3 linked regions of the Sus scrofa genome follow. The protein of the gene in region 3 interacts with the protein of the main gene of each other region in a biochemical or structural test. Links are inferred from orthologs where the notes say so. Each region holds a gene or a part of one and is shown on either strand. Other genes may lie near its edges. The genes, in order: DTX2, ELF2 and RUNX1.

Region 1 (4,416 bases), on a different chromosome or scaffold from region 3:
CCCAGGCCAGGGGTCGAATCGCAGCTGCGGGTGCCAGCCTACCCCACAGCCACAGCCACAGCCATGACAGATCCTTGACCCACTGAGCAAGGCCAGGGATTGAACCTGTGTCCTCCTGGATACTCGTCTGGTTCACAATCCACTGAGCCACAGTGGGAACCCCTATGTAAGGCTACTTAATTGGAGTCCAAGATTCAAAGGACTTCGAACCTCCAGGAACATATACAAAACATCTGTGTGGGAGTTCCCACAGTGGCTCAGTGGATTACAGACCTGAAATTGTCTCTCCGAGGATGGGGATTAGGTTGCTGGCCTCACTCAGTGGGTTAAGGATCTGGCGTGGCTGCCAGCTGCAGCATAGGTGGCAGATGTGGCTCGGATCCACAGATGTTGCTGTGGCTGTGGCAAAGGCTGCAGCTGCAGCTCTCATTGAACTCCCAGCCTGGAACATCCAAGTGCCGTAGGTACAGCTGTAAAAAGAAGAATAATGTCTGTGTGCATACACACGTGTGAACACAGCTGAGAATTTTTCTGGGAATAGCTTTCTTCAGCTTTGTAAAGAAGGTCTGTGATACTGAAAGATTAATCACCAGCCTGGTTTAGACCTCATCACCTTTGACCTGGACGACAACAACAGCCTCCAAACCGGTCTCCCCACTCCATTCCATATCCTCTACCCGCCACAAGGGTATCATATTTATTTATTTTTTTTACTGCACCTGAGGCATATGGACGTGCCTGGGCCAGAAACTGAATCCAAGCCTCAGCTGTAACCTATGTCACAGCTCTGGCAACACCGGATCCTTAACCCACTGCGCCATAATGGAAACTCCCCACAAGGGTATTCTTTCATTATTTATTTTTGTCTTTTTAGGGCCACATCTGAGGCATATGGATGTTCTCAGGCTAGGGGTCCAATCAGAACCACAGCTGCCAGCCTATGCCACAGCCACAGCAACGTGGGATGCGAGCTGAGTCTGTGACCTACACCACATCTCAGAGCAAAGCTGGATCCTTAACCCACTAAGTGAGGCCAGGGATCAAACCCATGTGTTCATGGATGCTAATCATGTTCGTTAACTGCTGAGCCACGATGGGAACTCCCCCCCCCCTTTTTTTTAAAGGGTATCCTTTTAAAATTCAATGCTTTAAAACAAACTTAGAGTTACCAAAGAGGAAAGGAGGGGGAGGGATAAATTAGGCGTCTACTCATCCTTTGCCTTCGCCAAACAGAACTTTTCACTGCTTCCTGAATGCATAGGTCACTTTCAAATCTTTCATCCTTTGCAAGGGTAGTCCATCTGGCAAACCCTCCTATAGGGGCTTCAAAATCCAATTCAGGTGTCACCTCCTCTGGGATCCGTCCCTGCCCCCAGTAGGTACTCCTCTCTATGCTCTCACTCCTTTATTACATTTATCATACTATATTGTAGTTGTGGGTTTAAGTGGCTGTTTCGCTAACTAGATAGGAAGCTCTTTTGGGAGAGCTACCCCCACAACAGGTGCATATTGTGTTCAGCCCCGCCTCCGCGGCCCCGCTGGAACTACATTTCCCAGAAGGCCCAGCCTCCTGGGCATGCGCACTGGAACGCAAGGAAGCTGCGACGCCGAGTTTCACTCAGGCTGCCTTCTCCTTAGAGTGGGAGCTACAGCCGGAGCCGTGCCCAGGCCGAGCCGGAGCTGCAGCCTGAGTGCGGCGGTGTCTTTCGCCTCCCCTCTCTCCCTCCTCAGCCTCGGTGAGAGGGGCGGGCAGGCCACCTGCTCCTCGACAGGGCTAGGGTCCCGGTGACGCGGGGCAGGAGCCGAACTGGGACCGGAAGGGGGCGGGCGTGGGCGTGAGGGAGGGCTGGGCCGGGCCGGAGACGAGCCCTGGGGTCGGGGTCGGGTCCGGGGGGGATTGTGAGGGCTGGCCTTCGGGTGGAGGCCCCTGAGGCGAGAGCTGTGGGAACTGCGAGCCGCTGGGAGTTTAGGACCGGACCGTGTGGGAGAGTGAACGCCGAGGTGCAAGCCGCAGGGCTGGCAGGGGGAGGGGCGCAGACTCTGGGAGTTTGGGTCCGTCCGGAGGAGTGTAACCCTTCCCACAGGACCTGGAGGACGCGGTGGTGATATTGCCACCCGGTGTGTGGTTAGGGTGTGGGTTCCGCCGGCGTCTGCCTCCTGGTGGACGACTCACGGGAGTCGGAGACTATACTTGAGAGGAGTTTGCCTCCTAACTCTGCTTTCCTGTCGCAAGTAGGGTCCGTCTTCCAGGAAGTGCCTATCTCCTGGGACCCTGGGTCGCTTTTCGGGGGGAGGGCGTAATGTATGCTGAGAAGAGAATTTAGAAGACTTTTTGCTGGAACTACCCTTTCTCAGACAGCTACAGTCCTGCGCGCTGGTTCCTCTTCTCTAAGTGCCAGTAGCAGTGGAAATAGTGTGTGCACCGACGCTTGACCTTAAGAAATTCAGAGTATTTCTGCTGCCAAGCTAGCCCCGCTCCAGCTCTAGAAGGCGGACTTTCTGGTAGCCAGGATCAGGCTTTACTTAAACTATCAGGGTAACTATAATTAGGCTTCAGGGTAACTATAATTAGGCTTCTTGTTCGTTTGCTGTGTGACTTTGGCTAAACTTTTACCTTCTCTGGTGTGTTGATTTCTTGGCTGCCTGCATTGCAGACGGGCTTACAAAGTCCTTTCAGGCCTTTCTGTGGAAGGGCTTAGGAATTTTTTTTTTTTTTTAAATCATCCCCTTGATTGTCGAGTGGGCAGAGGGAGACTACTGTACCTTCTGCTCTGCCCAGGCTGTTGGAAAATAAATCGGATAATTTCCAGTCCCCAGCCACAGCACACAGACCCAACATCTGTGCATTCGTTTTCCCTAACTGCTCAGTTTAAAACCTGATCATTTTCCTTGTTGGCAAAAGTGCCTTGGAATTTCTGTCGCTGAGTCAGCAAGCCTTTCAGATTTGCCCGGTTTTTGTTGTTTGTGTTTTAAATCAAGATGGGAACTCAGACAAGTTATTCCTCCTAAAGATCTGGTATCTCCATCAAGAAGGCACAGGTCGTGCCAGCTCTCCAGAGAGAAAAGGTGAGCGCCCCAAGGACTTCACATTGCTGACTTCCCAATCTGATTTTCATTAGAGAAAGTGGGGACTGGGGAGGGTGGCATTTGAGGTCCCCAGGATGAAAGTGAGCCCTGGGAGTTGATTGTCGATTGCTACCTGTCTCAAATAAATTCAGGTGGCTTCTTGCCAGTGGCGTCTCCTGTTTAACCCGTCTTAGAAGATGGTTTCTGCTTTCAGGCATGCTTTATGGGATGAAGGACACAAGTCACGATTTTTGCATTTGAACTTTGTATGTCTTTTTGTATTTCTTGTGTTGCATGCACCTTTAGCGGGTGCCTCCTTTGTGTCAGGCCCTGTGCTCAGTGCTGGGGGTACAGTGATGAACAAAAGCTGTGTCTTCCGGGAGCTCATTATCTGATGGAAAAGATAAACAAACCATAAGCAGTGACAGGGTGTTGTCAGTGTGATACATGTTGAGGAGTGAATGAGCACCCCCCCCCCACTGTCACTTGCCCAGGAGGGGAGCACCAGAAGGCTTCCAGAAAATGATACTTCCAGACGAGTTGTGAAGAAGAAGTAGCACCGAGGAAGTTGGGGGTGAAGCCCGGCAGAGGTGTAAGCATGTGCAAAATCATAAAGACACCTGGCATGTCTGGGCCACTATAAGTAGCTCAGTGTGACTGGAGCAACAGCGAGTGGGTGTGGAGCAGAGAAGTCTGGAAAGGTAGGCAGATCGCTGAGTGTGGGGGCTTTTGTGGGCCATGCCAAAGCTCAGGGTAACAGAAAGACTATCAGAAGAATAGTCAGACTATTAGAGTAGTCTAACGACATTCTATTTTATTTTATCTTGGCCATGCCCACGGCACACAGAAGTTCCCAGGCCTGGGATTGAACCCAAGCTGTAGCAGTGACAACACTGAATCCTTAGCCGCTAGGCCACCAGGGAACTCCCTGAAGGGCATTTTAAGTGAGCACCCTGGCTGGAAAGTGTGGAATGGATTAGATTGGATCACTGTCTTTGTGACCATTTCCTTACACCATTCCACCTTCTGGCAGAGGGGTGTAGACAGGTCCGTTGCCCTCTGGCTGCCCCTGGTCTCATCAGAGATGGAATGGACACAGCTGCAGAAGACAGAATGCTTGGAAGTTGATAAGAGGGGGTTTTCTTTCAAGGGGGCGCATCATGGCATCCTGGGGGTGTTTAGAAGGGTCTTGAAAATGTGGGTCAGCTAAGGATGGGTGGCCAAGTGAGTTGGGATTCTGGGTAGAGTTGAGGCACAGAGTTGGGGAGACTGGAGGTATATGGGGTAACAGGTCATCCTTGAAGCTCTTTGGGAGGGATGGGAGGGGGTGATGAGGAGGAATGCGCTGGC
Region 2 (3,648 bases), on a different chromosome or scaffold from region 3:
TCTCGCTTCCATGAAGTTTTTAGTAGTTGGATACATTTTAGATTAATATATTCAAGTTTATTCCATCTTTAGCAGGTAGTCTGGTATATCTCATTTTAAATAATTAAAGCAAAAATGAAGTCTCTAGTTAAAAATTAAGTCTAGAAGCCTACCAAGAAATTTAGTTAGAAAAAATCGAGTTATAGTAAACTCATATTCAGGAACTATTTATTCAATTTGGGACAGACTTAGGATACTTTTGTTTTCTTGTCCATCTTTGGTTGTTTTACATTTATACTATCTTGGGTTTTATCTTTCAATTTACATTGAAAACTTTAAGGCTTACATAATAGTAGTAAATATTAGAAAGTTAAACTGTAATAGACAGTTATTCCTGTTCTTATTTTTTTTTATTTTTTGCTATTTATATCTTGCTTTTTAGGGCCACATCTGTGGTATATGGAAGTTCCCAGGCTAGAAATCTAATCAGAGCTGTAGCCTCTGGCCTACACCACAGCCACAGCAACACAGATCCGAGCAGTGTCTCTGACCCTACACTGCAGCTCATGGCAACACCTGATCCTTAAACCACTGAGCAAGGCCAGGTATTGGACCTTCGTCCTCATGGATACTAGTCAGATTCATAACCCATTGATCCACAATAGGAACTACCTATTCCTGTTTTAAAAATTATTTCCATCATCAGTGTCTCCTATATTCAAAGACCTTATGTTTAACACTGGAAAAAAATTTCGTGATAACCTAAACCAATGAAAATGAATCACCTTTCATTAAAATTTCTGTTTAGTGTTATTAAACTTGATGCAACATGTTGTAATATGAAGATTAAAGTTTTTCTGACACATCTGCATTACAAATCCAGCCAGTGTTTCCTCTTCTGTAGAATTACTATGATAATGTCAGCATAGATTTAGTGAACTACCTTATCTGATAAAGAAGACTTCTCTTTCTAAATTCTTTTTTCCTTAAAACCCGAAATAGAATTGTTCATTTTAACCTGGGGATGGGAACTAGGGTGAAGCACTTAAAGATAACCTGAGGATGTTGATGCATCTAATTAATTCAACAGATACAAAAACATTCAATCTCAACTGTGTTCCTTGTGCATATTGTGCAAAAACTTCGTGCAGAATTAATAAAAATGCCCCAGCTACACATTCTGATTTAGTTGAGAGTGATGGAGTTGAAAGATATGTGAGTGTTTGGTGGTGGTGGGGGGTTTTTTTTGTTCTAATTTTTTTGGCCACACCTTTGGCATGTGGAAGTTACTGGGCCAGGAATGGAACCTGTGCCATACCAGTAACACCAAAGTCCCTAACTGCTAGGCCACTGGGGAACTCCACATGTGGTTTAATAGTAAGAGTTTTTAGTCACAAATGCTGATATAATAGGGTTTCAGAGACAGGAATGTAACACTGTAAAGTTGAAGGTTAATCTTTTCAGGTCAAGAGAGATACACTGGGCTAAACTATGGGTTAATAGATTTATTGAATTTTCAGGGAAATTTAGGATGAAAATGAAATGGTAGAAGAAGAGCATCAGCATTTAGATTGAGTAGCAGGGGCCTGATTCGGAAGTCCCCTCCACACTCAAAGTTCTTCTCATGTAGCCTGTAATTTAGATCTAGGTCTGAGGATAGTAAAGGGTTAGTGACCAGGACCCTGAGGTGACCTGGTGGCTTGGTGGTGGCATATATATCTTAATCATCTTCTCAGGACTCTGTTCTTCCTTCAGTTTAAGAACTTCTGCACCTAGAGGTTCTTAAATGCTGCAGCTCGGGTTTGATCCCTGGCTCCATAGCTTCTGCATGCCATGGGCGTGGCCAAAATGGAAAGAAAAACAGCAGCCTGAAAAGCCTACTCTTCTCATGAACACTGCCCACTCCTCTTCCCCAACCTTCCAAAAATAAAAAGTGATGCTTTTTCTTTTGGGACTAAGTTCCCTATTTTACCTACCCAGATTCCTTCCTTTTCTTTAGTGCAAATCTTAGACATCTTCTAAGACTTAATGATGTCTTGCCAAACAACTTTATCTTCACTCCTAAAATCCTAAACATTACTTTCTGTCATTCACTTGGAATATAATTATGCATGGCCTTGTGATATAGCTTATATTGTTTCATACTTTTTTCTTGTATTCTTATTTACTAGACAACACAGTTTGACACTGTACAAATGATTGCTTGATACAGTCAAGTATTTAATGCTACTCCTAGTATATTTGTGCTTTACCAGTAGTAAATTGATTTTTTTATCCAGCATAAGTAAATATTTACTTTTAATTATGTTGATGAGTTTTTAAACAATGTCTATCATTGTTTTCAAAGGAAACACAACCTATTTGTGGGAGTTTCTTTTAGATCTACTTCAAGATAAAAATACTTGTCCCCGGTATATTAAGTGGACTCAGAGAGAAAAAGGCATATTCAAGCTTGTGGATTCAAAGGCTGTCTCTAAGCTTTGGGGAAAACATAAGAACAAGCCAGATATGAACTATGAAACTATGGGACGAGCTTTGAGGTAAGAACACAAAAGAAAGAGTTTTCAAACAAAACTTACTATCCCTTAATATTGTCTATTAACTCTTTCCAGAGAAGCTCTTAAAATCATTTATTATAACTTTTAATTAGAGGGGATTTTCTAGAGGAGATTCTTGGATTTGGAGGCAGATGGGGAAAGGGGTTTGGTCTGGATGTCTAAAATTTCAACACCAGGAATTCCTGTGGTAGCCCAGAGGGTTCAGAACCTGACTAGTATCCGTGAGGATGTGGGTTCCATTCCTGGCCTCATTCAGTGAGTTAAGAATCCAATGTGGCTGTGAGCTGTGGTGTAGGTCACAGACGAGGCTCAGATCTGGTGTTGATCTGGCTGTGGTTTAGGCCAGCAGCTGCAGCTCCAATTCGACCCCTAGCCTGGGAACCTCCATATGCTGTGGGCCCTAAAAAGAAGGAAGAAATAAATTTTCCATTTTTTGTGGAAAATGAGCACTTTTAGGAAAATTAGACCCACATAAAATAGTTACTAAATTGTGAATTTGCTCTTTATTTAGTTCCTGCAAATTTGTTATGATGGATTTATCTTTATAAGAAAATTTCTCTTGCCCTGTCAGTTTGAGGCACCCATGTAACTTTGTGATATACATGGCTTCTTCTAATTAAGGGTGTTTGTAAGTAAACATAGTTTATGAGAGATAGTATTCACATATCCCAGATTCTTCTCTATAGGCATGGCTTAGGTACTTTTACCACATAATAGGAGACTGTTTTTATAACATATGTAAATCAGAATGGACTTGTTGCCAATGTCTGTAAAATGTAGTCATCTCTCAGTATCTGAAGGAGATGGTTCCAAGAACCCCTATGGATAGCAAAATATGAAGTGGGTAGTTTATCTGTAACCCCCATACACTTTTTTTTTTGGCTTTGGCATGCAGCAGCTTGATGTGGGATCTCAGTTCCCAGACCAGGGTTAGAACCCAGGCCATAGTGGTGAAAATAGTGGGTCCTAACCACTAGACTACCAGGGAATTTCCTCCTATATACTTTATCTCTAGATTGCATATAATACCTAATACAGTGTAAGTACTGTGTAAATAGTTGCCATCACATGATAAATTCATGCTTTGCTATTTGGAACTCTCGTGGAATTT
Region 3 (3,648 bases):
ATAAATGCATCCGAACCACACCTTCAATACGATAATGCTTTTTATTTCCCCGGTGTCCTGGTGTTAGAACTCTTTGGCACTAGCTGTGATGCCGGGGCTCTGGGTTCCCTGCAGGGGTAATAATGGCCTTACTTGCTGGTGGGATCACACGTGGGGAGGGTGCGGAATGAACTCTCACCCCCTCCTCTGGCATTCAACTCAGCCCCGCGACTCTGAGGGCTTAGGAAAAAGCTTAGAGTGAAGAATTGTTTTCTCTGAGAGCTATGCCCAAACATTCCTGCTCAAGCAGACAGTCATCAGTTAATCTCTATAAATGACTACGATTTTGGCAGGTGTCAGCTGGTGCAGAAATTGCTCACATGTTGAAACTTTTTTTTTTAAGTGCAGGGCAACGAGAGGGGTTTAAAAAAAAACATTTTTTTTTTTTTCCCTTCGTTGTGCCTGGCCACAGTAGTGGCTTACCTGTAAAATCACTTATTCCTCTTGGTTTCTTGGTGGCACATGGTCCCCAAGCTTGGTGGCTGAGGCAGACACAACTGAAGGCCTCTCTTCAAAGGTTGGCTGGAGACTCCAAAACACCGAATGACATGTGTTCAGAATGATCTGGTACATATCATTCCCCACGATGATCACCCACTGTCCTTGACATGGTGTTCTTCAAAAATGCCACTGGGTGCCCAAGGAATGTGAAATTTAGAAATGGGTACAAGACCTGCCAGCAGCCTCTGCACCATAACTTTGCCAACTGGCATTCTTTCTGAAGTGGTAGAACTTTCCAGAATCATTTTTCCTGCCGCCTTCTCTCCTTGACTCCCCATACCAGGCATTAGGTCGTGGTAGCCATTTAAAAGATTATTATGCTTTGGGTGGCTTTTGAGTTGAAATCGTTTGCTGTTCTGCAAGAAAACTTCAGGAAGTTGAAAGGGAGGAGTCAAAGAAAGCTCCATCCGGAGACAACGAGTGACTCGATGATTGAAATAGAACGTTCTAGAAAAAGATGTTTTCGTACTTCTGAAGGAAAGGGATGACAGGGGTTGTTCCGGGACCTGGCCCCATGGCCTTTCGCCCACAAGACCGGTGCTTAAAATACTCCGCCGGTAAGAGGCCTCTCGCATGTGTGCTGGGCCCTCGTGACTCAGCTGCTTGTGTTCAGACCGAGTGTTGCGGGCTGTGGGGCTGAATCAGAGTCCAGTTTTGCCTTGGTGACACATGAAAAGAGGGAGCGTTGCATTTGAACCACACAAATATTATGCTTAAGTATTTTTCCTCCTTTCGGAGCCAAACAGGTCTTGTTCGTGATAAAAATCACTGCAATATAGTGGGTCCTTTTTCTGGTCTGGAATTTGAGACAGTGTCAGCTGTGCCAAGGGGGCTGGCAGCAGGAAGAAATGGCAAGCCACGGAGATTTGGAACCATAATACAAGTTATAAAATTTAATTTTATAATTGTAGCCATTGGGAGCTGGGCTCAAAAGTCCCTCTCCCACCCCCACCCCACCCCCGGCTGGGGGGCGTGGAGTCAAGGAATCCTCTTTCTCACTGAGGTCTGGGGCCAGGAGGCTGCTCCTCCAATCTTGTTTGGAGGCCACTTGACAATCGGGTGGTTTTGTGAAACCGGTCAATGACTCTTTCTTTGAACCATGGGAGTGAGGCAGGAGCAGAAGGGCAGCCTCTTTGAAAGAGGATTGAATTGGCTGAGCCCCATTATGGCTCCATTAGTACAAGGAGCCTCAGCTCCACTGGGCAGGCCTGAGTCTCTGGTTTAAAGACATTTTGGTGAAGGATTAAGGGAGGAAGCGGGAGCCCCAACCCTTCTCCAAGGAATGACTTCTGCTCTCTGCATCCTGGTGATGGTGATTTTGACCAGAGCAAGGAAATTTACTGTCGATACAGATGCCAAGGGGCCCACCCGCACCTTGGATTCCTGAGGCCCCAGGCTTGTCCAGTGTGCTGGTGGCTCCCTTGGGGCTCCAGTGAGCTCTGCCTGCTGGGAAACTTGGACTGAATGAGTCCAGGGCTACACCACACTTGGGGTGCACTTGGAGAAGTGGGCTTCAGAAAAGAAAGGATGCTGGCGCAAAGCTTGCAAGCAGAGGAGGGGGTGGGTGGCAAGGGGCTGCCCATCCTGGGCACTTAACAGGAAATCTGACCTCCCCGGGCTGTGGGTTTGCAGCTACACCTCATTTCCTGTTGTAAGGGGCACGCCTCTAAGCTCCAGGGCCCACTTTGCTGCCTCTGAAACCTGCCGGTGGTTGGGTGTGGAGTTGGGGCAGCTGTTCCCATGCCACCAAGAGGGCTCCTTTCCTGCCCGCCTCAGCTCAGCCCACAGAGATGCCATAAGCCAATTAATGCCCCTTCTCTCCCTCCCACCATCACCACCGCCACCAAGCCCTGTATGCCCACTGCGTTCCACACAGTGGAGATGGATGCAGGGAGTCGGGGTGGGTGCCAGGCCCAGACCGGCGGAACACCCAGTGGCCAGTGCGACAAAACGGGCCCCAGTCTGCTGTGGGGAAAAATGGCCCCGAATTCCCAACGGGAACAGCTACCTGTGCAAAACTCTCCAGCGGATCCACGTTGGGGGTGAGGGGAGAGGGAGGGGAAAGAGGAGAAAAGCCCGAATTTTAGCAAATCCACAATACATTTTCTGATCTCTTCCCTCCCTCCTTCCCTGCCTCCCTCTCCCTTCCCCACCTCCTCCCCGCAATAGGACATCGTCAGAAACTAGATGATCAGCCCAAGCCCGGGAGCTTGTCCTTTTCCGAGCGGCTCAGTGAACTGGAGCAGCTGCGGCGCACGGCCATGAGGGTCAGCCCACACCACCCAGCCCCCACACCCAACCCTCGGGCCTCCTTGAACCACTCCACTGCCTTTAACCCTCAGCCTCAGAGTCAGATGCAGGGTAAGTACCCGGACGGAGCCCGCTTCCTGCCTCACTCCCCCCACCCCACCCCCGCCACCCCCAGCCCTGGGGCAGAACCCTCCTAGTCCAATCCTGGCTTCTCCTTCATACTCAGGAAGGGTGGTCCCTCAACCAGCAGCCTGGGAGCTGGTTAGCAGCAGAGTCTCGGCTGCCCCAGACCTACTGAGTCAGATCTGCATTGTAAGAAGATCCCCTGATTTAGAGGCACTGCTGCATAGGATACCGAGAGGATACGGACAGATCTGTATCACTCTGCCGATAAGATCTTTAATTTTTTAAGAGTTAGCTTTGGCTATGCTAATTTCTCACCTGCTTGGCTGGAAAACACGTATACACACATTAAGCAAGGTGAAGGCCAGGAGTTTTTAAGTTCTTACCGTCTACAGAATGTTCGTGGGGGTTGTATTTAATACAGTTTTTTTTTTTTTTTTTTTGAGAATATGAAGAAAATAGGAGTTTCTGGATACCATCACATGGAGCGTATTCATTGCAATAAATAAATTTGCAATCAATAAAGAATGCAGGCTATCCACCACCCCCACCCACGATGGGGTTAGCTGGCAGTTGCAAAAACACTGTAAAATACAATAATGGCATAAAACCCACTGTGCCAAATTAGATAATACGCAGGGTTCATTTACACTGTAGAAACTGCTGACGTCAATGATTATTTGCTCTGTGATACCATTTCAAATTTCCGAAATGCAGTCATTTTCTCGGGTCCGT

Evidence for each region.
Region 1: the proteins of RUNX1 (region 3) and DTX2 form a complex in vitro, tested with the Homo sapiens proteins (2 studies listed by BioGRID, with this or other methods). The link is inferred for Sus scrofa from reciprocal best matches to the Homo sapiens genes RUNX1 and DTX2.
Region 2: the proteins of RUNX1 (region 3) and ELF2 form a complex in vitro, tested with the Homo sapiens proteins (2 studies listed by BioGRID and IntAct). The link is inferred for Sus scrofa from reciprocal best matches to the Homo sapiens genes RUNX1 and ELF2.

What each region holds. Positions count from the first base shown.
Region 1 is NC_010445.4:9,923,021-9,927,436, reverse strand, and holds the start of DTX2 (probable E3 ubiquitin-protein ligase DTX2), read left to right. Parts: upstream 1-1,570; 5' UTR 1,571-1,576; coding exon 1,577-1,736; exon of another isoform or gene 1,737-3,066; intron 3,067-3,560; exon of another isoform or gene 3,561-3,767; intron 3,768-4,416. UniProt on the Homo sapiens protein: Regulator of Notch signaling, a signaling pathway involved in cell-cell communications that regulates a broad spectrum of cell-fate determinations.
Region 2 is NC_010450.4:87,872,152-87,875,799, forward strand, and holds part of ELF2 (ETS-related transcription factor Elf-2), read left to right. Parts: intron 1-2,326; coding exon 2,327-2,519; intron 2,520-3,648. UniProt on the Homo sapiens protein: Isoform 1 transcriptionally activates the LYN and BLK promoters and acts synergistically with RUNX1 to transactivate the BLK promoter. Isoform 2 may function in repression of RUNX1-mediated transactivation.
Region 3 is NC_010455.5:198,415,147-198,418,794, reverse strand, and holds part of RUNX1 (runt-related transcription factor 1), read left to right. Parts: intron 1-2,709; coding exon 2,710-2,901; intron 2,902-3,648.